Linked DNA regions of Ovis aries. The protein of the gene in region 2 binds, or shares a complex with, the protein of the main gene of each other region. Links are inferred from orthologs where the notes say so. Each region holds a gene or a part of one and is shown on either strand. Other genes may lie near its edges.

Region 1 (12,450 bases), on a different chromosome or scaffold from region 2:
AGCCATAACCTCCGGTGGCAGTCACAATTTAACAACTGGTTTTGAAAGAAAGTATTCGGTTTAGGAATAAAAACCTCTTCTATTAAATATACAATAATCATATTCATATTAAATATTTTTGTAGCCTGTTTTAGTAGTGTGTGAAAGTGTGCTATTAACTTAGGTAGTACATTTATTTACACTGCAGTAAGATTTACTATAGTGAACATATTGAGTACATTGATATATTTACCTGGAAAAATCTTAATGCAAAAATTTTTTAATCTTTTTTCTCTATTAAAATTAGGCAATCTTAGAAACAGCTAAATAGTCATCAGCTGATAAATGGATGACTAAAATGAGGTCCCTCCACAAAGTGTAATATTGTTTGGCAATAAAAAGAAATGAAGTAGTGATACATGGATGGAGCTTGCAGTGAGACATGCTGAGTAACAGAAAAGTGAAGTTGCTCAGTCATGTCCGACTCTCTGTGACCCCACGGACTGTAGCCCACCAGGCTTCTCCATCCATGGGATTTTCCAGGCAAGAATACTGGAGTGGGTTGCCATTTCCTTCTCCAGGGGATCTTCTCAACCCAGGGATTGAACCTGGGTCTCCCGGATGGTAGGCAGATGCTTTACTGTCTAAGCCACCAGGGAAGTTGAGTAACAGACTTGTTGTATGACTTCATCTGTATGAATTGTTCAGAGCAAGTACCTTAGTAGAAACAGAAAGTAGTCTGATAATTGTCTACCAGCAGGAAGAGGATGGGGTTGGGGGAAAATGGTGAGTGACTGCTATTGGGTGTGGGGTTTCCCTAGGGTGAAGAAAACATTCTAGAATTGATTGTGGTCATGATTGCATAACTCTTAGGATATGGAAAACCACTGAGTTGTGTACTTTAAATGGGTGAATTGTATGGTATGTGATTATATCTTAAGAAAGCTGTTAACTTTTTAAAAAATTAAGCAATTTTAGAGAGTCCCTGACTTAAAAAAGCAAAGGCATTGAATAGATTATTCACACTGAACTATATCCTCCCTAATACCTAACCCAGGGGGCACCAACTCCAGTGCATGCTGGTCACTTAAGAAGCGGTTCCAGTGTGGAGCCCAGACCCACCCTGCAGGTTCCAATCCATGGTCTGCAGGCCTGGGAAGGGCTGAGACACTCACTTTCAACAGGTGCCTGAGGAATCTGCTGTTCTGTGTGTTAGAAATTGAGAGCCACTCAGGGAGAGTTCTCTTAGAATATTTTCCTATGTCTGTTGATCCAGTCTTTATTTTTATTCAGTTGCTTTGGCTGCCTTATCTGTACTAAAATACATATATTTAGCAATTTATTTAGAGTTTGAAATTATATCAGAACCACTCTAGCATTGCCTTATTATAGACCAGGTAGCTGAAGCCAGGTAAGTTGAGTTTTTTCTTGAGTCTCAAAGCTGCTAAGTGGGAGAATTGGAATCCAGGTTTTGGTCTGCTTAAGTCCAACCCAGTACTTTTTTTTTCTCAGTTATGTCGGGTCTTCACTGCTGCATGGAGGCTTTCTCTAGTTGTGGCGAGTGGGGGCTACTTACTAGTTGTGATGTGTGGTCTCTTCATTGGGGTGACTTCTTTCGTAGAATACAGGCTCTAGAGCATGGGCTCAATAGTTGTGGCACCCAGGCTTAGTTATCCTACAGTGTATGGAATTCCTGGATTAGGGATCGAACCCATGTCCCCTGCATTGGCAGCCAGATTTTTCACCACTGAATAGTCAGGAAAGTCCCAATCCAGTACTCTTTTCATTTGTGTTTCAGAATCTTGTCTTGTATCTAATAATAATCCCTTAACCGGGCTGAGACCACCACAGGTTTAGATCCTTTCTACCTGCTGTTTAGTGGCTCTTCCTCTTTATTGGCTCTGAGAGTTTGAACAGATTGCTTCACTTCTCTGTGCTTCAATTTCTTAATCAGAAGGAAGCAGGGTAAGAATAATGCCTACTTGATAGAATTGCTATGATGATTTAGTGATTCAGTACGTGTGGAGTGCTTGGCAGAGTCATTGACATGATTCTTGCTAAGTAAATGTTAGCTCTCATTTCTGATCATAGACTCAGACTCTCTCAGGGTCTAGATTTAGGAATATCTTTAAAAGGACAGTGAAATGAAATATGCATTTTCCTCAACATATCTGTGTTATAATTTTTCTGATGGGCCTTAGTAGGTAAAACCCAGAGCAGTGATTGTCGAATTTATGCAGAGGATGGAGCTACCACGCCTGTTACAGAACACATGATAAACTGTTTTAAAAATTGGAAATAATTTTGCTAGCAGAGAATGACTTTATTCTGTCTGTACAACATAAATTCACTTTAAGCATACATAGTCATGAGAAGGCTGTGGAATAAGCCTAATCAGTTCCTTGTAAATAGATGTTAAATTTGCATATTGTTAATTTGTTTGATCATCTGCCAGTAAGTATATTAGATGGCTTTGAGAGAATTGTCCTCATTAATGCACGTACTTCTGTGATTTGGAAAAAGCTGTTAATCCTGGATATTGGGGGTGCTTCGTGCCAGCCTGTGGGATGGCATGGTAACCTAGGGTCTTGGGAACCATTGTTTTATGGGCATAAGAGTGAGGGTAGACATGGGTCAAGCCAGATTATTTCTGGGAGTAACAGTTTGCTCTGTAGGGCTTAATGTTTTAAGACTATGATGGCAAAAAACTTGAGTTGTGAAAAATGATTTTTGTGGTTTTTGTAATTCAAAATTTATAAAAGTTTTATACGGTCTTACAAAAACATTCACGTAATAGAGAAAGAGCGACTGTTTGCCAAGCTCTCCTGGCCTCATTTACAGAGGTAACTTAACAGTTTGTCTGTTCTTCTAGAAAAATGTATAGTACCTGTATACACAGGCATATGTTTATTCTGCATATATTTATTGTGTATATCAGTGTTCTTATGCAGCTGCCTTTTGAACCATGATACATGCTGGGCATCTTGTTACATGTTGGTACACGTAGAGCTGCCCCATTGTGCACCTCATTGGTGGCACACTAAGTTTCAAAAGCTACAGTATGCTAGGCACTGTTCTAAGCTCTTTGCATGTATTATTACCTCACTTAATCTTCACAAGAACCTTATGAAGTAGGTACGGCTACTATCCCCATTTTGTACATGAGCTGACAGGCACAGAGGTACATGAGGCAGTTTTTCCAATAACACATGAGTAATGGAGCCAGGATGTGAACCCAGGCAAGTAACTTCATAGACTGCCTTTTTAACCAAAGCATGACATTTCCCCTGTGAATAGACATCACATTATTTTCTGTTTTTCATTGTAACTTATTTTTCTATAAATGGGTTATTAAATTTTCTAAACTTACTCTTATTTTTATATGTGTAGAAGGGATAACTAGCTTTTAACAAAGGAGAGAATTATCTGATTGTTTCTGTTTCACTCTGACATCTCAGTTATTGCCATCTGTGAAAGCCTTCTGTCTGGTGGGATCCTAGTTGACCCTTTCTCTTCCTCTCAAAGTTTTACTCTATCAGTTTCTCTAACTTTTGCTTATCTAATGAAAAATCAGGCTTATTCTTTGAAAGGTGAAATGTTCTAGTACTCCTATGTCACATACAAGCTTGCACATAGATATATGTGCATGTTTTTCATTTGGCTTGTTGATCATATTACAAGTCTCATATTGCAAGATCACACAGTCTTCGTTGTAATTTTTTTGTTTGTTTTTTTTAAATAAGTTTCTGAGGGAAATGTTTTAAAATTTCCTGCTGTGATAAGGGCTTATCATTTTTAATTAGTAATTATGACAGTTTTAGGTAAAACATTTGTGGTTTTATTTTAGAGCTGTATTGTTTGGTACATGCAAGTTCAGTTCACAATATTTTTGAGATGTTCCTTTCTGCCCTTTTAAATACTGCTTTTGCTGAATTCTCATTTTTGGATATTAACATTATTAGTGTGGTTTTCTTCTCATTTGTATTTTTCTGGAATGTACCTTTCCATCCTTTTAATCTTTCACCTGTTTTGCCTATCACATGTTTTACCTGTTTCCATTTATTGTGATTTCTGATGTATTTGCACTCATTTCCTTCATCTTATTTTGTGTTATCTGTTTGTCATGTCAGTCACACTGTCCTGCAGAGAAACATTCACCTGAAATAGTGAAGCTGCTGCCTCTTATTAGGAGCTGCATTCTCCAGTGTGCTCAGACCTCACCTGGCCATTCACTTTATCTCTGTGATCCCAGTAATAAGTTCCATGAGTGTGGGGTCCAGACTCTACCTATTTTCTTCACCACTGCACTCCGCACCAGATATGGGACCTGGTACAGAGGTGCTCCGTGAACATTTACTGAATGAATCGATGAATGTTCAGTTCAGTCGCATCTGAGATTTAAAAAAAAAAAACACAGATGAGACTTTTTAAGCTCCTCAAATTTAATGTGTCACATTTCTGAAATGGAATAGATTAGACGTAGCTTAAATATCATACTAAATGTTTTATGCCTTACAGTTCTATAAAGCTGTTCAGTTGTCTCTATTAACCGCCTTCCTTAATGTTCCTAGGTTATAGAATCTTTGGGAATTATTATTTATAAGGCACTGGACTATGGCTTGAAGGAGAATGAAGAAAGGGAGTTAAGCCCCCCACTGGAGCAGCTCATTGATCGCATGGCCAACACAGTAGAGACTGACGGCAGCAATGACGAGGGCTACGAGGCTGCAGATGAGGGTCTGGAGGAGGATGACGACGAAAAGAGGAAAGTTTCAGCCATCCGGTCCTATAGAGATGTCATGAAGGTAAAGTTTACAGCAGTATCTCTTTCTTTCAAGAGTTGTTATTTCACTTCAAAAAATTGATTAGCATTTGATAATAGTTCCTAGACTTTCAGCTTTCAGTGAAATACATTGTTGTTGTTATTTACTCACTAAGTTGTCTTCAGCTCTTTGCAACCCCATGGACTGCAACATGCCAGGCTTCCTTGTCCTTCACCATGTCCCAGAGTTTGCTCAGTTTCATGTCCATAATGAAATGCATAAGAGTATTCTAATTTCATTCTTTTACATGTAGCTGTCTAGTTTTCCTCCTACCATTTATTGAAGAGGCTGTTTTTTCTCCATTGTGTATTCTTGCCCCCTTTGTCATAGATTAGTTGACCATAGGTGTGTGAGTTTGCCTCTGGACTTCTTTCCTGTTCCATTGATGTGTGTCTGTTTTTGTGCCAGTATCCTACTGTTTCGATTACTGTAGTTTTGTAGTACAGTCAAAGCTCTGAAGTCAAGGAGCCTAATTCCTCTAGCTCTGTCTTTGTTGCTTTTCTTTTTTTCTCCCCACAAAATTGCTGTAGCTATTTGGGACCTTTTGTGTTTCCATACAGATCTTAAAATGTTTTGTTCTAGTTCTGAAAAGGTGAACCAAAGTCATGTCCAACTCTTTGCGAGCCCATGGAATTCTCCAGGCCATAATACTGGAGTGGGTAGCCTTTCTCTTCTTCAGGGGATCTTCCCAACCCAGGGATCGAACCCAGGTCTCCCACATTGCAGGCAGATTCTTTACCAACTGAACTACCAGGAAAATTCTGAAAAAGGCTATTGGTAATTTCATGGGGATTACATTGAATCTATAGATTAGAACAGTCTCTAATACCATACATAGAAACAAACTCAAACTGGATTAAAGACCTAAATGTAAGTCTGGGTACTATAAAACTTTTAAAGGAAAGCTTAGGCAGAACACTCTCTGCCTAAGATATTACATAAATCACAATAATATCTTTTTGCTTCACCTCCTAGAGTAATGAAAATAAAAACAAAAATGAACTGTGGGTATATTTGAGATAATCAGGAAAATTTTACCTTTTACTCTATAGTTGATGATATTAGGAATTATATTTTTAGATATTATAATAGAATTGTGAGTATATTTTTAAAAAACTCATTTAATGAATATATGGTGAAAATATCTACATGTGAAATTCAGATGTCTGGAATTTGTTATAAAATTATCCTTGAGGGGTGAGGCTTAAGTGGATGAAGATGTAGATAAAGTAAGATTGGCCATGAATTGATCATTGCTAAATTGGGTGATGGATGGTAATTCATTATACTGTCCACCTCATTTTATGTATGTTCAAAATTTTTCCACACAGTAATACTACTATTAGAAGTTTTTCAAAGAGGTCAGTTTTTTAAGCTCAGATATAATTGACATATAACATTATATTAGTTTCAACTGTACAAGGTAATGATTCCTTGTTTGTATAAATTGCAAAATGATCACCACAATAAGTTAACATCCATCACTACACATGGTTACAGATTTTTTTTCTTGTGATGAGAACTTTTAAGCTCTATCTTTCAGCAACTTTCAAATATTCGGTACAGTATTGTTAACCTTAGTCGCCATGCTGTACATTACATTCCTAGGACTGACTGAGTTTATAACTGGAAGTTTGTACCTTTTGACTGCCTTCACCCATTCTACTCTGTACCCCCAAAGCCCCAACCACTGGCATCACCAATCTGTTCTCTGTACAAGGAGATGATTTTTAAAATGAAATGTTACGTAGATACAAGGAGATGTGTATCACAGCATTAATTACACTGTTTTGAAACTGTAAATAAATGACTTCCAGAAAAATGGTATATCAGCTACATAGATTATCATATGGTCTTTAAAATTATAATCATGTAGGTTAAGTAGCAGTGTGGGAAATTTTTAATAAATGGAGAAAAGACCACAAAATTCTGCATGTACTGACTGGTGTGTGTATAAAGGAAAGACTGTGTATGCAGACATAGAGAACAAACTTGTGGACACAAGTCTGTAGAATTTCCACTCCTCCACAAGCGTCACTTGTTTGGTAACTGTAGAGGTCATTTGGGGCATGCTGCCTGTATGCTTTGTTCTAAGTGTTTCAGCACTTGAAGAAAATTGCTTCTTTTAGTGTGAGAACATTACTTCCTTTAGTGTAACTCATCCTGCAGTTAGACTGCCTGGGTTTACTTCCAATTCTGCTGGCTAGGTGTGTGGCTTGGGTAAATTCTTAGCTATTGTAAATTTCTATTTCTTAATCTCTAAATTGAATTGACATAAGAATTAGATGTGATGATGCATATACACACAAAGAATAAAATAATTATCAGGTAATTCATTGAAACTGAAATAATCACCGGAGTTATTTTTCCTCTAAGGGATTATTTCTCATCTGTCTCAGTGGAAACTTCATGAAATTTCATGGGCTTAAAAAAAATTTTTTTTTGTACATTAAAAAATTGTGGTAAAATACACATAACAAAGTTTACAGTTCACAATTTAGTGCCATTAAGTAATTCACGATACTATCCAGCTGTCAGCGCTATCTCAGTCCAAAGCCTATTCTTTATCCCAGATGGAAACCTATCCCTTCTCCAGCCCATGGCAGCCACTGATCAGCTTTCTGTCACTGTGGATTTATGTATTCTGGTATTTCATATAAATGGAATCATATGGTATATGACTTTTGGTGTCTAGCTTCTTAGACTGAGTGTAATGTTTTTAAGGTTCCATGTTGTAGCATGTGTCAGTACCTTTTTCCTTTTTATGGCTTAATAAGATTCCATTTTGTGAATATACCACAGTTTGTTTATCCACTCCTCAGCTAAGAATATTTGAATTATTTTCACCTTTTTTTTGGCTGCTGTGAATGGTGCTGGTATGAACATTTGTGTTTCAGTTTTTGTTTGAATACCTACTTAAAATTCTTTTGGAAATACACCTCAGGAATGGAATTGCTGGATCACATGGTAATTCTATCTTTAACTTTTTGAGAAACCATCAAGCTATTTTTCGCAGTGGCTTCACCATTTTCATTTCTACTAGCAATACACAAGGGTTCCAATTTCTCCACATTCTTGCTAACACTTACTTTCCATTTTCTCTTTGCTTTTATAGCCATCCTAGTGGTTGTGAGTGGTATCTAATTGTGGTTTTGATTTGCATTTTCTTAATGACTTGTGATGGTGAGAATCTTTTTATTTGCTTTTTGGCCATTTGTCTACTTTCTTTGGAAGAATGTCTGTTCAGGTCCGTTTTTAAATTAGGTTGTTTGTCTTTTGTTGAGTTTAAGAGTTCTTTACGCATTCCGAATAGTAGATCATTATTAGATATATGATTTGCAAATATTTTCTCTGCTTCTGTGGATTGTCTTCTCATGCGCTTGATAGAATCTTTTGATGTACATTTTTTTTTAAATTAGAGGATAATTGTTTTCACAAAGTAGTATTCGTTTCTGCTCTACAACAACGTGAATCAGCCAGAAGTATACATATATCCAGGTTAGGCATTGCTCTGCTGACAAAGGTCTGTATAGTCTTCCCAGTGGTCACACATGGTTGTGAAAGCTGGACCGTAAAGAAGGCAGAACACCAAAGAATTGATGCCTTCGAACTGTGGTGCTGGAGAAGACTTTTGAAAGTCTCTTGGACAGCAAGGAGATCAAACCAGTGAATATTAAGGGAGATAAACCCTGAATATTCACTGGAGGGACTGATGCTAAAGCTGAAGTTCCAGTATTTTGGTCCCTGATGTGAACAGACGACTCATTGGAAAAGTCCCTGATGCTGGGAAAGAGTGAGGGCAGAAGGAGAAGAGGCATCAGAGGATGAGATGGCTGGACGGCATCACTGATGCAGTGAACATGAACTTGGGCAAATTCTGGGAGATGGTGAGGGACAGGGAAGCCTGGCGTGCTGCAGTCCATGGGGTTGCAAAAAGTTGGACCTGACTGGGCAACTGAACAACATACATATATTCCCCTCCTTCTTGAACCTTCCCACCTCTTCCCACCCCTCTAGGTTGTCACAGAGCACTGAATTGAGTCCCTGTGGTACATAACAACTTCCCAATAGCTGTTTTACATAGGATACTATAAATGTTTCAGTGCTATTCTCTCAATCCATCCCACCCTCTCCTTCCCCCACTGTGTCTACAAGTCTGTTCTCTATGTCTGTGTCTCTATTGCTGCCCTGCAAATATGTTCATCTGTAACGTTTTTCTAGATTCCACACACACAGATACAGATATATGTCATTATACAATGCTTGTTTGTCTGACTTACTCCACTCTGTACAGTCTCTAGGTTAATACACCTCAGTTAAACTGCCTCAGATTCATTCCTTTTTATGGCCAGGTAATATTCCATTGTATGCATGCACCACAACTTCTTTATCCATTCATCTGTAGATGGACATTTAGGTCGCTTCCATGTCCTGGCTATTGTATATAGAGCTGCAGGGAACATTGGGATACATGTGTCTTGATTTTCTCAGGGTATGTGCCCAGTAGTGGGATTGATGGGTCATATGGTAGTTTTATTCCTAGCTTTTTAAGGAATCTCCATACTGTTCTCTATGGTGGCTGTACCAATTTACATTCCCACCAACAGTGCAAGAGGGTTCCCTTTTCTCTCCAGCATTTATTGTTTCTAGATTTTTTGATGATGGCCTTTTTGACTAGTGTACAATTTTAACTTTGAAGTCTAATTTATCCATTTATAGCCATACCTTAGGGGAATTGCAAGTTTAGCTCCAGACTACTGCAACAAAGCAAAGGTTGCAGTAAAGTGAGTTACATGAATATTTTGGTGTTTCCCATTGCATATAAAAGTTACATTTATACTATACTATAGTCTATTATAAAGTGTATAATAGCATTATATCTAAAAAACAATACATACTTTAAAATATAAAACAAAAAACCAGTTACAATAGTAACAGCAAAGATCACTGATCACATTACCACAACAAATACTAATAAAATAATAAAAGTTAATAATAATAAAATAAAGTAAATAATAAAATAATGATAAGAAAAAGTTTGAAATATTGTAAGAATTATCAAAATGTGCCACAGAGACAAGAAGTGAACAAATGCTGCTGGAATAATAGCACTGATAAACTTGCCTAATGCACAGGGTCACTACAAACCTTCAATTTGTTAAAAACACACTATCTGCAGTGCATAATATAGTGCTATAGTAAAGTAAGATATGCTGTATCTAGTGCTTTTGGTATCATATCTTAAAAACTGCTACAAAGTTCATGACCATGAAGGTTCACCACTATGAAGGTTCACTTCACCTTCGAAGAGTTTTATAGTTTTGACTCTTAAATGTAGATCACTGATCCATTTTGAGTTAATATTTATGTATGCTGTGACATAGGGGTACAATTTTTTTCCCCCATGTGGATATCCACTTTTCCAAGCATCATTTGTTGAAGAGACTATTCTTTCGCTCCGTAATGGTCTGGGCACTTTCATCAAAAATCAGTCAAGCATAGATATATGGGTTTATTTCTAGACTCTCAGTTGTGTGTCATCAATCTGTATATTTGTTGTTATGCAAGTACCACTTTGTTTTCATTACTGCAACTTTGAGGTAAGTTTTTTTTTATTATAGCAATAGTGAAATTTATTTTTATTTAATTTATTTTTTTATATTACTTTACTGTATTGGTTTTGCTATACATTGACATGAATCCGCCATGGGTGTACATGAGTTCCCAATCCTGAACCCCTCTCCCACCTCTCTCCCCATATCATCTCTCTGGGTCATCCCAGTGCACCAGCCCCAAGCATCCTGTATCCTGTATCAAACCTAGACTGGTGATTCATTTCTTACATGATAGTATACATGTTTCAATGCCATTCTCCCAAATCATCCTACCCTCTCCCTCTCCCTCAGAGTCCAAAAGTCTGTTCTATATATCTGTGTCTCTTTTGCTGACTCGCATTCAGGGTTATCATTACCATCTTTCTAAATTCCATATATATATGTTAGTATACTGTATTGGTGTTTTTCTTTCTGGCTTACTTCTCTCTGTATAATCAGCTCCAGTTTCATCCACCTCATTAGAACAGATTCAAATATATTCTTTTTAATGGCTGAGTAAGAGTTGACTCATTGGAAAAGACTTTGATGCTGGGAGGGATTGGGGGCAGGAGAAGAAGGGGACGACAGAGGATGAGATGGCTGGATGGCATCACTGACTCGATGGACGCAAGTCTGAGTGAACCCTGGGAGTTGGTGATGGACAGGGAGGCCTGGCGTGCTGCGATTCATGGGGTCTCAAAGAGTCGGACACGACTGAGGGACTGAACTGAACTGAACACTCCATTGTGTATATGTACCACAACTTTCTTATCCATTCGTCTGCTGATGGACATCGAGGTTGCTTGCATGTCCTGGCTGTAAAAAACAGTGCTGTGATGAATATTGGGGTACATGTGTCTCTTTCAATTCTGGTTTCCTTGGTGTATATGCCCAGCAGTGGGATTGCTGGGTCATAAGGCAGTTCAGTTTCCAGTTTTTTAAGAAATCGCCACACTGTTCTCCATAGTGGCTGTACTAGTTTGCACTCCCACCAACAGTGTAGGAGGGTTCCCTTTTCTCCACACCCTCTCCAGCATATATTGCTTGTAGACTTTTGGATCACAGCCATTCTGACTGGTGTGAAATGGTATCTCATTGTGGTCTTGATTTGCATTTCTCTGATGATGAGTGATGTTGAGCATCTTTTCATGTGTTTGTTAGCCATCTGTATGTCTTCTTTGGAGAAATGTCTATTTACTTCTTTGGCCCATTTTTTGATTGGGTCATTTATTTTTCTGGAATTGAGCTGCAGGAGTTGCTTGTATATTTTTGAGATTAGTTGTTTGTCAGTTGCTTCATTTGCTGTTATTTTCTCCCATTCCGAAGGCTGTCTTTTCACCTTGCTTTTAGTTTCCTTTGTTGTGCAGAAGCTTTTAATTTTAATTAGATCCCACTTGTTTATTTTTGTTTTTATTTCCAGTATTCTGGGAGGTGGATCATAGAGGGTCCTGCTGTGATTTATGTCCGAGAGTGTTTTGCTTATGTTCTCTAGGAGTTTTATAGTTTCTGGTCTTATGTTTAGATCTTTAATCCATTTTGAGTTTATTTTTGTGTATGGTGTTAGAAAGTGTTCTAATTTCATTCTTTTACAAGTGGTTGACCAGTTTTCCCAGCACCACTTGTTAAAGAGATTGTCTTTTCTCCATTGTATATTCTTGCCTCCTTTGTCAAAGATAAGGTGTCCATAGGTGCGTGGATTTATCTCTGGGCTTTCTATTTTGTTCCATTGATCTATGTTTCTGTCTTTGTGCCAGTACCATACTGTCTTGATGACTGTGGCTTTGTAGTAGAGCCTGAAGTCAGGCAGGTTGATTCCTCCAGTTCCATTCTTCTTTCTCAAGATTGCTTTGGCTATTCGAGGGTTTTTGTATATCCATACAAATTGTGAAATTATTTGTTCTAGCTCTGTGAAAAATGCCACTGGTAGCTTGATAGGGATCGCATTGAATCTATAGATTGCTTTGGGTAGTATACTCATTTTCACTATATTGATTCTTCCAATCCATGAACATGGCATATTTCTCCATCTATTAGTGTCCTCTTTGATTTCTTTC
Region 2 (12,450 bases):
ATTCACATTAGCAAATTGAAAAATAAAAGCCCTATGATTATCTCAATAGACGCAGAGAAAACCTTTGACAAAATTCAACATCCATTTATGATAAAAACTCTCCAGAAAGCAGGAATAGAAGGAACATACTTCAACATAATAAAACCTATATATGACAAACTCACAGCAAACATTATCCTCAATGGTGAAAAATTGAAAGCATTTCCCCTAAAGTCAGGAACAAGACAAGGGTGCCCACTTTCACCGCTACTATTCAACATAGTTCTGGAAGTTTTGGCCACAGCAATCAGAGCAGAAAAAGAAATAAAAGGAATCCAAATTGGAAAAGAAGAAATAAAACTCTCACTGTTTGCAGATGACATGATCCTCTACATAGAAAATCCTAAAGACTCCACCAGAAAATTACTAGAGCTAATCAATGAATATAGTAAAGTTGCGGGATATAAAATCAACACAGAGAAATCCCTTGCATTCCTATACACTAATAATGAGAAAGTAGAAAAAGAAATTAAGGAAACAATTCCATTCACCATTGCAATGAAAAGAATAAAATACTTAGGAATATATTACCTCACAACCCAGATAATCATGATATGATGTGATCACTAATCTAGAGCCAGACATCTTGGAATGTAAAGTCAAGTGGGCCTTAGAAAGCATCACTACGAACAAAGCTAGTGGAGGTGATGGAATTCCAGTTGAGCTGTTTCAAATCCTGAAAGATGACGCTGTGAAAGTGCTGCACTCAATATGCCAGCAAGTTTGGAAAACTCAGCAGTGGCCACAGGACTGGAAAACGTCAGTTTTCATTCCAATTCCAAAGAAAGGCAATGCAAAAGAATGCTCAAACTATCACACAATTGCATTTATCTCACATGCTAGTAAAGTAATGCTCAAAATTCTCCAAGCCAGGCTTCAGCAATACGTGAACCGTGAACTCCCTGATGTTCAAGCTGGTTTTCGAAAAGGTAGAGGAACCAGAGATCAAATTGCCAACATCCGCTGGATCATGGAAAAAGCAAGAGAGTTCCAGAAAAACATCTATTTCTGCTTTATTGACTATGCCAAAGCCTTTGACTGTGTGGATCACAAGAAACTGTGGAAAATTCTTCAAGAGATGGGAATACCAGACCACCTAACCTGCCTCTTGAGAAATCTGTATGCAGGTCAGGAAGCAACAGTTAGAACTGGACATGGAACAACAGACTGGTTCCAAATAGGAAAAGGAGTACATCGAGGCTGTATATTGTCACCCTGTTTATTTAACTTATATGCAGAGTACATCATGAGAAACGCTGGACTGGAAGAAACACAAGCTGGAATCAAGATTGCCGGGAGAAATATCAGTAACTTCAGATATGCAGATGACACCACCCTGATGGCAGACAGTGAAGAGGAGCTAAAAAGCCTCTTGATGAAAGTGAAAAGGAGAGTGAAAAAGTTGGCTTAAAGCTCAACATTCAGAAAACAAAGATCATGGCATCTGGTCCCATCACTTCATGGGAAATAGATGGGGAAACAGTGGAAACAGGGTCAGACTTTATTTTGGGGGGCTCCAAAATCACTGCAGATGGTGACTGCAGCCATGAAATTAAAAGACGCTTACTCCTTGGAAGAAAAGTTATGACCAACCTAGACAGTATATTCAAAAGCAGAGACATTACTTTGCCAACTAAGGTCCATCTAGTCAAGGCTATGGTTTTTCCTGTGGTCATGTATGGATGTGAGAGTTGGACTGTGAAGAAGGCTGAGCGCTGAAGAATTGATGCATTTGAACTGTGGTGTTGGAGAAGACTCTTGAGGGTACTAAATTTTTATGATGTATTCTTCCAAACAGATCTAAATTGTCTTATTATAATTGGTATTTCAGATATTATTTTAGGTCTAAGAGACAAACAGAACCATCCAACCAAAACATAGCCTTCCCATGCTACAATAAGAAAACTTAACACCAATACAAACAACTAGGCCTGTCAGAGTATCATGCAGGCCATCAGCCTGTGAACACTGAAATATCCACTGACACTGATATCCATAGAAATATGATAAAACATATTTTAAATACTAAAGATAAAGATTTGCAATTAGTAAAAGTAAGGCACAGGGACTTCCCTGGTGATCCAGTGGATAAGAATTTGCCTGCCAATCCAGGTTCACTCCCTGGTCTGGGAAGATCACACATGCCACGGAGCTGCTAAGCCTATACACCACAACCACGGAGCCCATGCACAAGGATGGGCGAGGCTGATGTCAGGCTGCAGAGACAGTGGCAGCAGAGGGTAAGCCGAGCCCACACGCCTGCAGGCTCCCCAGCTGTCATGTTTCCACTGTTACTATTACTACTGCTGAAGCTGCTGCTGCTACTGTTTCCCAAAATATGTCATCCGAGGAACTCATCTGACATTGGATTAACTAGAAACTTCTTTTTGAGGGAATTCTTACTGTCAAAATTATCCCAGTGTACATCCTCTCACTTTCCTGCTCATAAGCTCAGTTAAACTTAATCTTTAATTGGACATGAAGATCTTGAAGTGGCTTAGGAGCACTTAGGATCACTCAACATTAACAGTCAGTGAGCTCGCCTGTCAGTGGCAAAACATGGGTCACTTGTGCTCGCTCTAGGATCACATGTATTTGCTGTAGAGGGTTTCTTAAGAACCTTAAAAATGGACAGGTTTGCGTGTATGCGCAATGTGTCAAACAGGGGCCTCAGGCGACACTGGTTTTTCCATCTTCCTCATGATTCTTTGGGAAATGGGACTGCTATTGTGCCAAATCAGCAGGTTGATGTTTAATTCTGACCTGGCAGCATCACAGTCATTTGTTGAAGGAGAACTAGGTGAAACAACAGTCTGATAAACCCCCTGTACCTTCTCAGCAAATCTCCTTATGTTTTCATAGCCACAGTGAAGATGGGTGAGCTAAGACATCAGCGCAGAACTTAAGCACAAGTGCCATGAGAAAAGGTGAAAGGCTCTGTCTTGAGTTACTTGGTGGAGAAAGGATTGAGAAATACCAGACACTCCTCACTGTTGCCACTCGGCACCCACAGAGTATCTTCTTTCTCATCATGCCACACAGCAAGGTGTCCAGCTGAGGAACCTCCATTACCACAACGAAGACGTGTTTTCTGAGAGTTGTTAAAGGCCAGAACATTCAGCCACACTCTTAGTTTCAAGGAGACAACAGATCACAAAAATATTTTAGCTATTTTGAACTATTTAAAGAAAACCGGAATTCTTAGCTTCCATCATATATGAGAAGAATAGCTTGAAACATCTTCATAAAACCAGGTCACAGCATTAATGGCTATTAATTTCGCTGGAAATGAATGTCTGCATATGATAAGGGGAACCACTTGTTAACAGTTTGAACTGTGCATGTCTACGTACACCCTGATTTTTTTTCAATAGTAAATATTGCAGTGCTGCACGAGCTTAGGGTGGTTGCATCCATGGACATGGAACCATACAGAGGGACCCCAAGTACAAGGGACTGACTCTTAATTTAAATGGAGATTTTCAGCTGCTCAGAGGGCTGGCACTCTTGACCCCATATTGCCTGTATCTGGAAAATATGTTTTCCTTAAGCAAAATTTTAAATTAGACGGAAATTTTAAAGTAGATGGAATGGATAGATTTTTCTTCCAAACACAACACAGTTAAATAAAACTCACTTTCTTCAGCCATATAACTGTTTGTAGTAGATTGGTCTTTCACCAACACATGAGAAAAACAAACAAACAAACAAACAAACACTTTTCCTTCCAAAAACAAATCTGAAAAGCAGGGCTGAGAACTAGACCCTGACCAAGAAAATGCTGACAGGCCACTGGGAGTCAGGATGGAGACGGGTCCACAAACTGTCTTGAAGCTGAAGGTCAACAGCTGCACCACCACCAATGGGCACAAATGACAACCCCGGCAAAGGCCTGTCCCCATGGTTTACGGAACAGGCTCGCGACAGGGTGAGGCAACTGTGCTGAGCTGATGCTCCACTCAGACGTGCAGCTCGCATGAAAGGAGGCATCTCATGCCAACTAGCTGAGGTTGCTGTCTTCATGATTTGGACATAATCTCAAAGCAATCATAAAATCCTACACTTCCAGGCATTATGAGACAGCTTCCTTGTCTATGTTCACTTAACAAAGGAAAGGAAGTAATAGGAGGCAGGGAGGGCAAAAATTTCATCCCATAAAACAGATGCCCCATGTCATTCCTGTCCGCTTGATCGGTGAAGGCCCTGATGCCCAGCCCTCCATGGCATATGCTGCCCTGCCCATATTCCTCACCTAAACAGCTTTTCCATCACCAGTACCATCGACGAGAAGAGACATGATGACTCAGTCTATGCGTCCTATATACAAAGATGCTGTGGGAAAGATTTTTAGACTATTTATCTCTGCCAGAAAAAAATGTGGTTCCCCATTTACCTTTATTCCATGACAGAGCCACCTTGACCAAATTGATTATTGTGAGATAAGTGATTTTCTGGCTTTAATCATTATCAGGAATAGTCATGGGTATGTATAAAGTCCTCCTCCTACAGTTGCCTGGTTTATTTGCAGAACAAATGTTTATTCAGTGCCCACAAGGTGCAGGTTTACCATTGTTTCTGATTAAAAGTCACCAGCAACCAGCTGTGTCACAATAAATGGTTCTGAAAAATTCACTGTGTCACATTTGAGCGTCAGAGCAATAGAGATGTGTGGCGTGAGTCTGAAATGAATACGGATGAAAACAACTCTGGGTCAGACATCTAGCTACAACTTCCAGGTCAGAGCAAAAGTTCACAGGACCATATCACCCCTCAGTTTTCACTCATCTGAGGAGGCTGTACCAGGAGAGTCCCGAGGCTTCAGACCTCAATTCTCTTTCTTTCACCCAAAAAGACAGAGCTGCTACCACACCTCTTCAGGATGAAAGATGAACACCAACAGCAGCACCTTCCTTCTGAGCTCATTGTTCTGGGCTTTACTATACTTTCCTGTATGGCTACCTTGAGAGATACACAAAATTAGTTCATGATCAAGGCCACTGTGTGGACCAGTGGGAAAATATTGTATGAAAATGTTTTCTTCCAAATGCACTTTTCTTTCTCTGGGACTCAAGTGTCACAGGATGCATCAAAGGATCTAACACAGAATGGAGATGCTGGAACTGGATACAAGAGTCTCTTCTCTGTGTCAAGTTCAAGGTGATTATTTAGCTAGGTTCTACAGGGCACTCAGTTGTTAGAATAGGAACAAAATACCAAACACGAGATCGGTTACTAAGGACTGGATTTCTTGCTTGATTTCCAGTTTGTTTCTAGGCAACTAATTATAACAACAAGCAATTGCTAAAAGCTTGGAAATATGGATCGTGGGGCTACAAATCAAATAGTCAGAACATGATCACTTGGTGGAGATGATTACTTGCTATTCTATCTGGGAAAGTCTTATTTAACCACATGTTCTAAAACGCTAACCCCTACTATCTGCTTACAGACAGTGGAACGGACACAGCCCTGAAAATGGTGTCAAAGTTTTTCTCCAATGAAAGTTCACACTTATACCCAAAATACTGTCCAATTTCAGAAAACACACGAATACTCACTTGCTTAGCCTTAGTCTTTGTGATGGTGTCAGAAATGGGTTTCTTCCTTTCCTTGACAGTAGATTTAGAAAACAATTCCTCAAATTCATGACAATCTATGGATGGCTCTTCAATTTTTTCCCAAATAAGTGAAGCACTGGAGTCTCTAAAGTTAAGCAAAAACCCATGAGAGAGGCGTCAAGCTGGACTGCAGGGACAGGAGGACACAGGCACCAGAGGGGCCAGGAGAGGATGAAGGGAGGTTGGGGATGGGGGAGATCCATCCCCATCCCATTTTCTGTAAGATCAGCACTTGTTTAATCAACCAACATGATGAGAAACAGCATCAACACAGGATGGAACCTTTGCCTAGAAAGGAATTCTTTCTAGGCATTGCCAGGAATTCTCAGTCATCAAGTCATTGTATAAAACATGTAAGAACCCTTTTTAGTATGGATCTCCAGGCAAGAAATGTCTGATATCTCACATTCCAACCTGACCCATAAGTTTCATGGGTTAAAAATAAATCACTTTCTGCCTACAGAGTGGCATTTCTGTCTCCCTACCACTGTCCAGCACTCATGTCATCTGACTCCTCAGTGACCATAGAGACAGGTAGTACCACCTGAAAATGAAGGTTCATTTTAAAAAGCAAAACAACAAAATAAAAGAACTTCATATAATGCATATGGAAAAAATGAGTTTGGAGCACAGCTGGAAATGATGCCTCAGCAATTAGGAGTGACTCGGAAAAGTACTCAGAGAATGAACAGCAAAGTTAGAAGCAGTGATTCTCCACTATGATTCAGATAAGAGAAAATTAATATAAGAAATGAAGATGAGTCTAGTAAACATCCTATTTCTAAATCTGTGCCACATCACAGACAGCCACAAATTCAAAGTCATGAGAACTCGGGATAACAAAGTCCAGGGGAAATTTAAAGGGCATGTTTTCTCTGGCACCACCCCAGGGTTCAGGGAACCAGGTTATGGACCATCCATGGGTAAGTAATACACCAGCAGCAAACCTGCTGGGAGGCATTCTTTTATAAATATCATGTCTTTCGTAAAAGTCATGTAAGTCTGTGATTTTGTGACCTCACAGTGTTGCAAATCATCTATAGAAGTGCCATGAAATGATCAGACCTAAATCATTTCACACACAGGGTGAAATCCACACATGTGGATTTTTGTGTATCACTTTTCTGAATAGTAAAACAAGACCATGCCTTCAAAAGGATGCAGAATACATCCTCAAGGGTTTGTCTGTTTAATGATTTGATTTACTTTTATAAGTTATTTGTCAGAGTGAGGCTTTGCAAAAAGGCAACAGCTCACATAAGCTAAGAAAGATCTATCCATCAATCCTTAAAAGGTCGATTAAAAATTAACCATGTTGAGGTTTGACAGAAAACAACAAAATTCTGTAAAGCAATTATCCTTCAATTAAAAAAGAAATTAATTAAAAAAACTATATAGATAGAAATGTGTACATTGATACACATGATTTATCACTTGGATACTTCTGGAGAAAAGTCTAAAATTGCTCCACTAAATACTGATGTAAAAATCTACAGACTAGCTTTGGAGTGGTACAGAGAGGAAACCACTTCTCTCATGTTGACAAATTATGCAAAGAGGAACGCCGCTGGTGTTACCTTCTACTGTGCAGCTGAATTCTTGTCCAATATAGAGGCTTCATTGGCCGACAAGGCTCTACTGGCTGCTTCCTACTCCCTTTTTCCTGATTCATCCCAAATCCAAACAAGCCAAGAGGCAACGGAGGAGGAAGAAAGCCACACACCTGAGGTGTCGGTAAAGTGCTACTCCCAACTTGTCCTGGGAGAGGAAGGCCTGATCCAGCAGTGGGTGGGGGCGGAGGGGTTAGAGGAGGTGGAATCCCCACACCAGGAGGAGGAGGAGGAGGAGGTGGGGCAGGAGGTATTCCTTCACTGGAAAGAGGTGGGGGAGGAGGAATTCCCACTCCGGGAAGAGGGGGGGTGGGGGGTATTCCCATGCCTGGAAGAGGAGGGGGAGGAGGGATGCCCACCCCGGGAAGGGGAGGGGGAGGAGGGATGCCCACCCCGGGAAGGGGAGGGGGAGGAGGGATGCCCACCCCGGGAAGAGGGGGCGCTGGAGGGATCCCCACCCCGGGAAGAGGAGGGGCGGGAGGGATCCCCACCATGGGAAGAGGGGGGGCAGGAGGGATCCCCACCCCGGGAAGAGGGGGCGCTGGAGGGATCCCCACCCCGGGAAGAGGGGGCGCTGGAGGGATCCCCACCCCGGGAAGGGGAGGGGCGGGAGGGATCCCCACCCCGGGAAGGGGAGGGGCGGGAGGGATCCCCACCCCGGGAAGAGGAGGGGCGGGAGGGATCCCCACCCCGGGAAGAGGAGGGGCGGGAGGGATCCCCACCGAGGGAAGAAAAGGGGCGGGAGGGATCCCCACCGCGGGAAGAGGGGGAGCGGGAGGGATCCCCACCCCGGGAAGGGGAGGGGCGGGAGGGATCCCCACCCCGGGAAGGGGAGGGGCGGGAGGGATCCCCACCCCGGGAAGGGGAGGGGCGGGAGGGATCCCCACCCCGGGAAGGGGAGGGGCGGGAGGGATCCCCACCCCGGGAAGGGGAGGGGCGGGAGGGATCCCCACCCCGGGAAGGGGAGGGGCGGGAGGGATCCCCACCCCGGGAAGGGGAGGGGCGGGAGGGATCCCCACCCCGGGAAGGGGAGGGGCGGGAGGGATCCCCACCCCGGGAAGGGGAGGGGCAGGGGGAATTCCCACTCCAGGCAAAGGTGGAGGAGGGGGTGGCAGCATCTCTGGACCTAGACGAGGAGGAGGTGAGAGGCCTGCTGGACTGGGCAGTGCAGGCCCAGGTGCACTGGGGGTCAGGGGTGCTGGGGAAGCCTCGGCGCCCACGCCAGGCATCAGAGGGGAGGTCTCTGGAGGCAGAGGTGGTGCAGTGGGGATGTCACAGCCGTTTCCAGAGTAGGGGAAAGCAGAGTGCTCCTGGCTGGTTTCAAACCCAGTGTGAAGAGGATGGGAAGGCTGGGACCCCGCCTGTCCATGACTGTCAGACCAGGGGAGGGATGCAGGCGGTGGAGGCTGGAGGGATGGCTGTGCATCAAGCTGAACTGATATTCGCCTTGGAGACACGACCAAAGAGATTTCTGAGCAGAACATGGTCTGAGGTCCCGAAGACAAGGGCAGCCCCGCTGATTCTCCATGTGCGGTCAAGGGTAGGGGGCCCACCAGCGGGGCCCCCCCAGGAGGACGCGCCAGCACACCACCGTCTTCCATCGGGGACGTCTGGATGGACTTGGCCTGTACGATCCTTTCATATCCGACATCCTTTTCTCCCAGCTTGAGGGCTTCCAGACCCGTGTCTAGGGCGGGATATTGTTTCTCCAGCTCAGCTATCTTGGTCTTCAGATCCTCGATGGTCTGCTCCAGCCGCTGGATGACAGTGGCCTGACCCTCAGACTTCATGTCGCACACTTCCTGGGGGGCAACACAGACATCACAGTTGAACAGAAAATCAGGGATACTCCAAACATCAAAAACTAGACCCACCAAACTCAGCAAAATGTATTCGTTTGTTACTTCTAAAAGCTCGCTCCATGGAAACACATTATTAGTTCTACTATGTGTCCCTTCTTCTCTGCCCTTGGATTTCAAAGTGGATTACATAGATGACCATGAGGTCCTAAGGCCCTTCTCTAATTAATCTTCAAATGAAATCGTGGAAGATCAGCAGACCTCAGTGAAGAGGGAAACCAAGGCTGAGTGACCCACTTAATTTCACCATAGACCACTCTCCTTCTTGCCCAGTAACATCTGCTATATGAGGACATTTCCCAAAGATATTTTAAATTCTAAGTTTTAAAGTTAATTGCAACTTCTAAAGAGTAATCTCTATAGGAGTCCCCAGTAAAATCATAAGAAATATTTGTAACACCCACACAAGCATGTATAGGCATGTCTTACGTGCATGTATAGAACTTATATCACACTTATTACAATTCAAATATTTTATTCAAGGCATTTCAGAAAGGGATACCTTTGGTCACCACAATTTATCACAATGGCCAAGAGCAACTGTGCCCATGTATGGGTCACTCTCACCCCCAGACGGTACCTTCCTCTCCCAAAGCATGCCATCAATCTTTCAAGGAAAAGGACTTTGGGTAGAGAAAAGGGGAAAACCCTCTCAGTAAACTGACTGCCAATAACATATGAGTAAGAAGAAAAGAGGAGGCAGAGGAGTGGGCAGAGAAAAATGAGGAAAGCAGGAACAGGAGAAGGAAGAAGAGGGGATAGACCCCAACTGAGTGAAGCGCAGGTCAGACACCTGATCACACAGGTTCACCTGTCCCCCATCGATGTGGGGATGAGAGGGCCCAGAACTGCTTCTCCAGAGCGTCCAGGGCTTTTCACACAATACCCCAACAGAGGCCACCATCCACAGCATGGACATGTTACTACCTTCCCCACATGGGAGCCAGGCCTGCTCTTAACCTATCAATTGAGAGGTGATACAAAGATGATGCAAAGTATGAAACTAAACTCCTATCCTGCTTGCCAAATGCTAAATCCAAAAAAAAAAGTCTCCACAAAATAAAAAATAACTTACTTTACTATTTTTTAAAAATTCAAAACAAATATATAACCCATTTACAGTGGAAAAGCTGCAGACAGACAAGACAGAAATGAATATTTACAATAAATGAAGCATTTTTGGTGTTATGCGTATATTTATTTAAAATCTTCACAGGTAGTTTCTTTTTGCATGGGGGTAGGGAAGGTATAAAGATAACAGTCTTAATCCTAAACCCATTATTTCTTCTCTAAAAATTCTATATTTTACTATAACATTTCACTTGCTGAACATCAATTATGATGCTTATTAAAAGCAGAACTTGTAACTTCAAAGACAAGCACCTATACAAGGTACTTATTTCCCTATAATCAAAAAATACCAAATAGCCCTTACTGTGAAAGAAAGCTGAAAAGGAAATTAACTTACCTTTTAAGTAATAAAGAAATATAAACACTTATTATAGGCAAAATTGTGACAGGCACTTCTATTTATGGGTGTGTGTGTGTGTGTGTGTGTGTGTGTGTGTGTATATATATGAAATCTAAGTCACTATTTTTCACCAATGTCTATACAAAAGACTAAAGAATTACAATACATAGGTTGGGAAATCATGTCATATATTCTCTAAATAGTCCATGGTAAAAGAAATAACTATAATAAAATAATTTGTAATATCCTATTTAGCCATTGTAGTTAACTTCACTCTCCAATTATGATGCTAGTAAGCACAAGAAAATCCAACCTAATAAAATTATAAATATTCACTATTTTTGCCTTATGGGTTAGTAAAATATATAGATTACTTTCATTTTTCCAGTATAATCTTAGGAGTGACCATTAAGCTTAGATAAGTCTTTTTTGAGTTGTCCTGGTATGAAGTAATGCTCTCATTTTCTCATTTCTGTAATGAACATATAAAAAGGCTGCTTGATAAAAGGCATGCAACTAGTATATTCTAGAAGTGTTTTCCAAAACTCAATTATTAAAAAAATTTTTTACTGGGATATAGTTGATATATGTTTCAGGTATACAACACAGGGATTTACAATTTCTAAAAAGTTATATTCCATTTACAATTACTATAAAATATTGCCTATATTCCCTGTGCTGGACTATATATCCTTGAAGCTTATTTTATACATAATAGTTTGTACCTCTTATTCTCCTACAACTATTTTGTGACTCCCCACAATCCTCTCCCCACTGATAACCACTACTCTGTCCTCTGTATATGTGAGTCTACTTCTTTTTAGTAAATACACTATATCTTCTTTATGCACTCATCTCTTGATAGAAACTTAGGTTGCTTCCATATCTTGGCAATTGTGAATAATACTGCTATGAACACTGGATGCATGTATCTTTAAAAATAAGTGCTTTATTTTTTGTTTGTTTGTTTTGTTTTTTAGGTAAATATCCAGGAGTGAAATTGCTGGGTCATACAGTAGTTCTGGTGTTTTGAGAAACCTCCATACTGTTTTCCATAGGAAACATTCCCACCAAAAGGGTACGTGGGGTCTGTTTTCTCCACATTTTTGCCATTCTCTTGTTATTATGTTCTTTTTTAATACTTTCTTTATTATTTTATCATTATTTTTAAAGTTTTACTGAAATATAGCTGATTTACAATGTTGCATTAATGTCTTCTGTACAGCAAAGTGACTCAGATATACATACCTCACTTCAGTTCAGTTCAGTTGCTCAGTCATGTCCGACTCTGCGACCCCATGAATTGCAGCATGCCAGGCCTCCCTGTCCACATATATATATATATATTCTGTTATTTGTGTTCTTTTTCATGATAGCCATTCTGAAAATGTGAGGTGATATCTCATTGTGGTTTTGATTTTCATTTCTCTGAGGACTTATCATGTTAAGTATATTTTCGTGTGCCTGTCGGCCATCTGTAGGTTATCTTTAGAAAAAAATTCAGGTCATTTGACTATTTTTAAATTTTTTTTTTTTTGATGTTGAGTTGTATGAGCTGTTTATATAGTTTGGAAAGTAACCCCTTATCAGTCATATAATTTGCAAATATTTTCTCCCATTTAATAGATTGTCTTTTGTTTTGTTGATAGTTTCCTTTGCCATCCAAAAGCTTTTAAGATTAATTAGGTTCCATCTGTTTATATTTTATTTCTTTTGATTTAGGAGACAGATCCAAAAAATGTATTGATATGATTTGTGTCAGAGTGTTCTATTTTTATTTCCAGCATTTTTATGGTTTCTGGTCTTATATTTAGGTCTTTAACCATTTTGAGTTTGTTTTTGTGTAAGATGCT

Evidence for each region.
Region 1: the proteins of FMN2 (region 2) and SPIRE1 are in contact, whole or in part, in a crystal structure (PDB 2YLE), measured with the Homo sapiens proteins. The link is inferred for Ovis aries from reciprocal best matches to the Homo sapiens genes FMN2 and SPIRE1. Residues at the interface, in NP_064450.3 of Homo sapiens: Ser1702, Leu1703, Lys1705, Ile1706, Lys1707, Pro1708, Arg1709, His1710, Gly1713, Ile1714, Lys1715, Lys1717, Ile1718, Lys1721, Thr1722; in NP_001122098.1 of Homo sapiens: Gln51, Pro52, Ile53, Asn54, Glu127, Ile131, Tyr134, Lys135, Asp138, Leu141, Lys142, Glu143, Asn144, Glu145, Glu146, Arg147, Glu148, Glu154, Ile157, Asp158, Ala161, Asn162, Thr163, Val164, Glu165.

The regions. Positions count from the first base shown.
Region 1 is NC_056076.1:43,470,073-43,482,522, reverse strand, and holds part of SPIRE1 (protein spire homolog 1), read left to right. Parts: intron 1-4,550; coding exon 4,551-4,784; intron 4,785-12,450.
Region 2 is NC_056078.1:2,619,714-2,632,163, forward strand, and holds part of FMN2 (formin-2), read right to left. Parts: intron 9,070-12,450; coding exon 7,235-9,069; intron 5,743-7,234; coding exon 5,598-5,742; intron 1-5,597. UniProt on the Homo sapiens protein: Actin-binding protein that is involved in actin cytoskeleton assembly and reorganization. Acts as an actin nucleation factor and promotes assembly of actin filaments together with SPIRE1 and SPIRE2.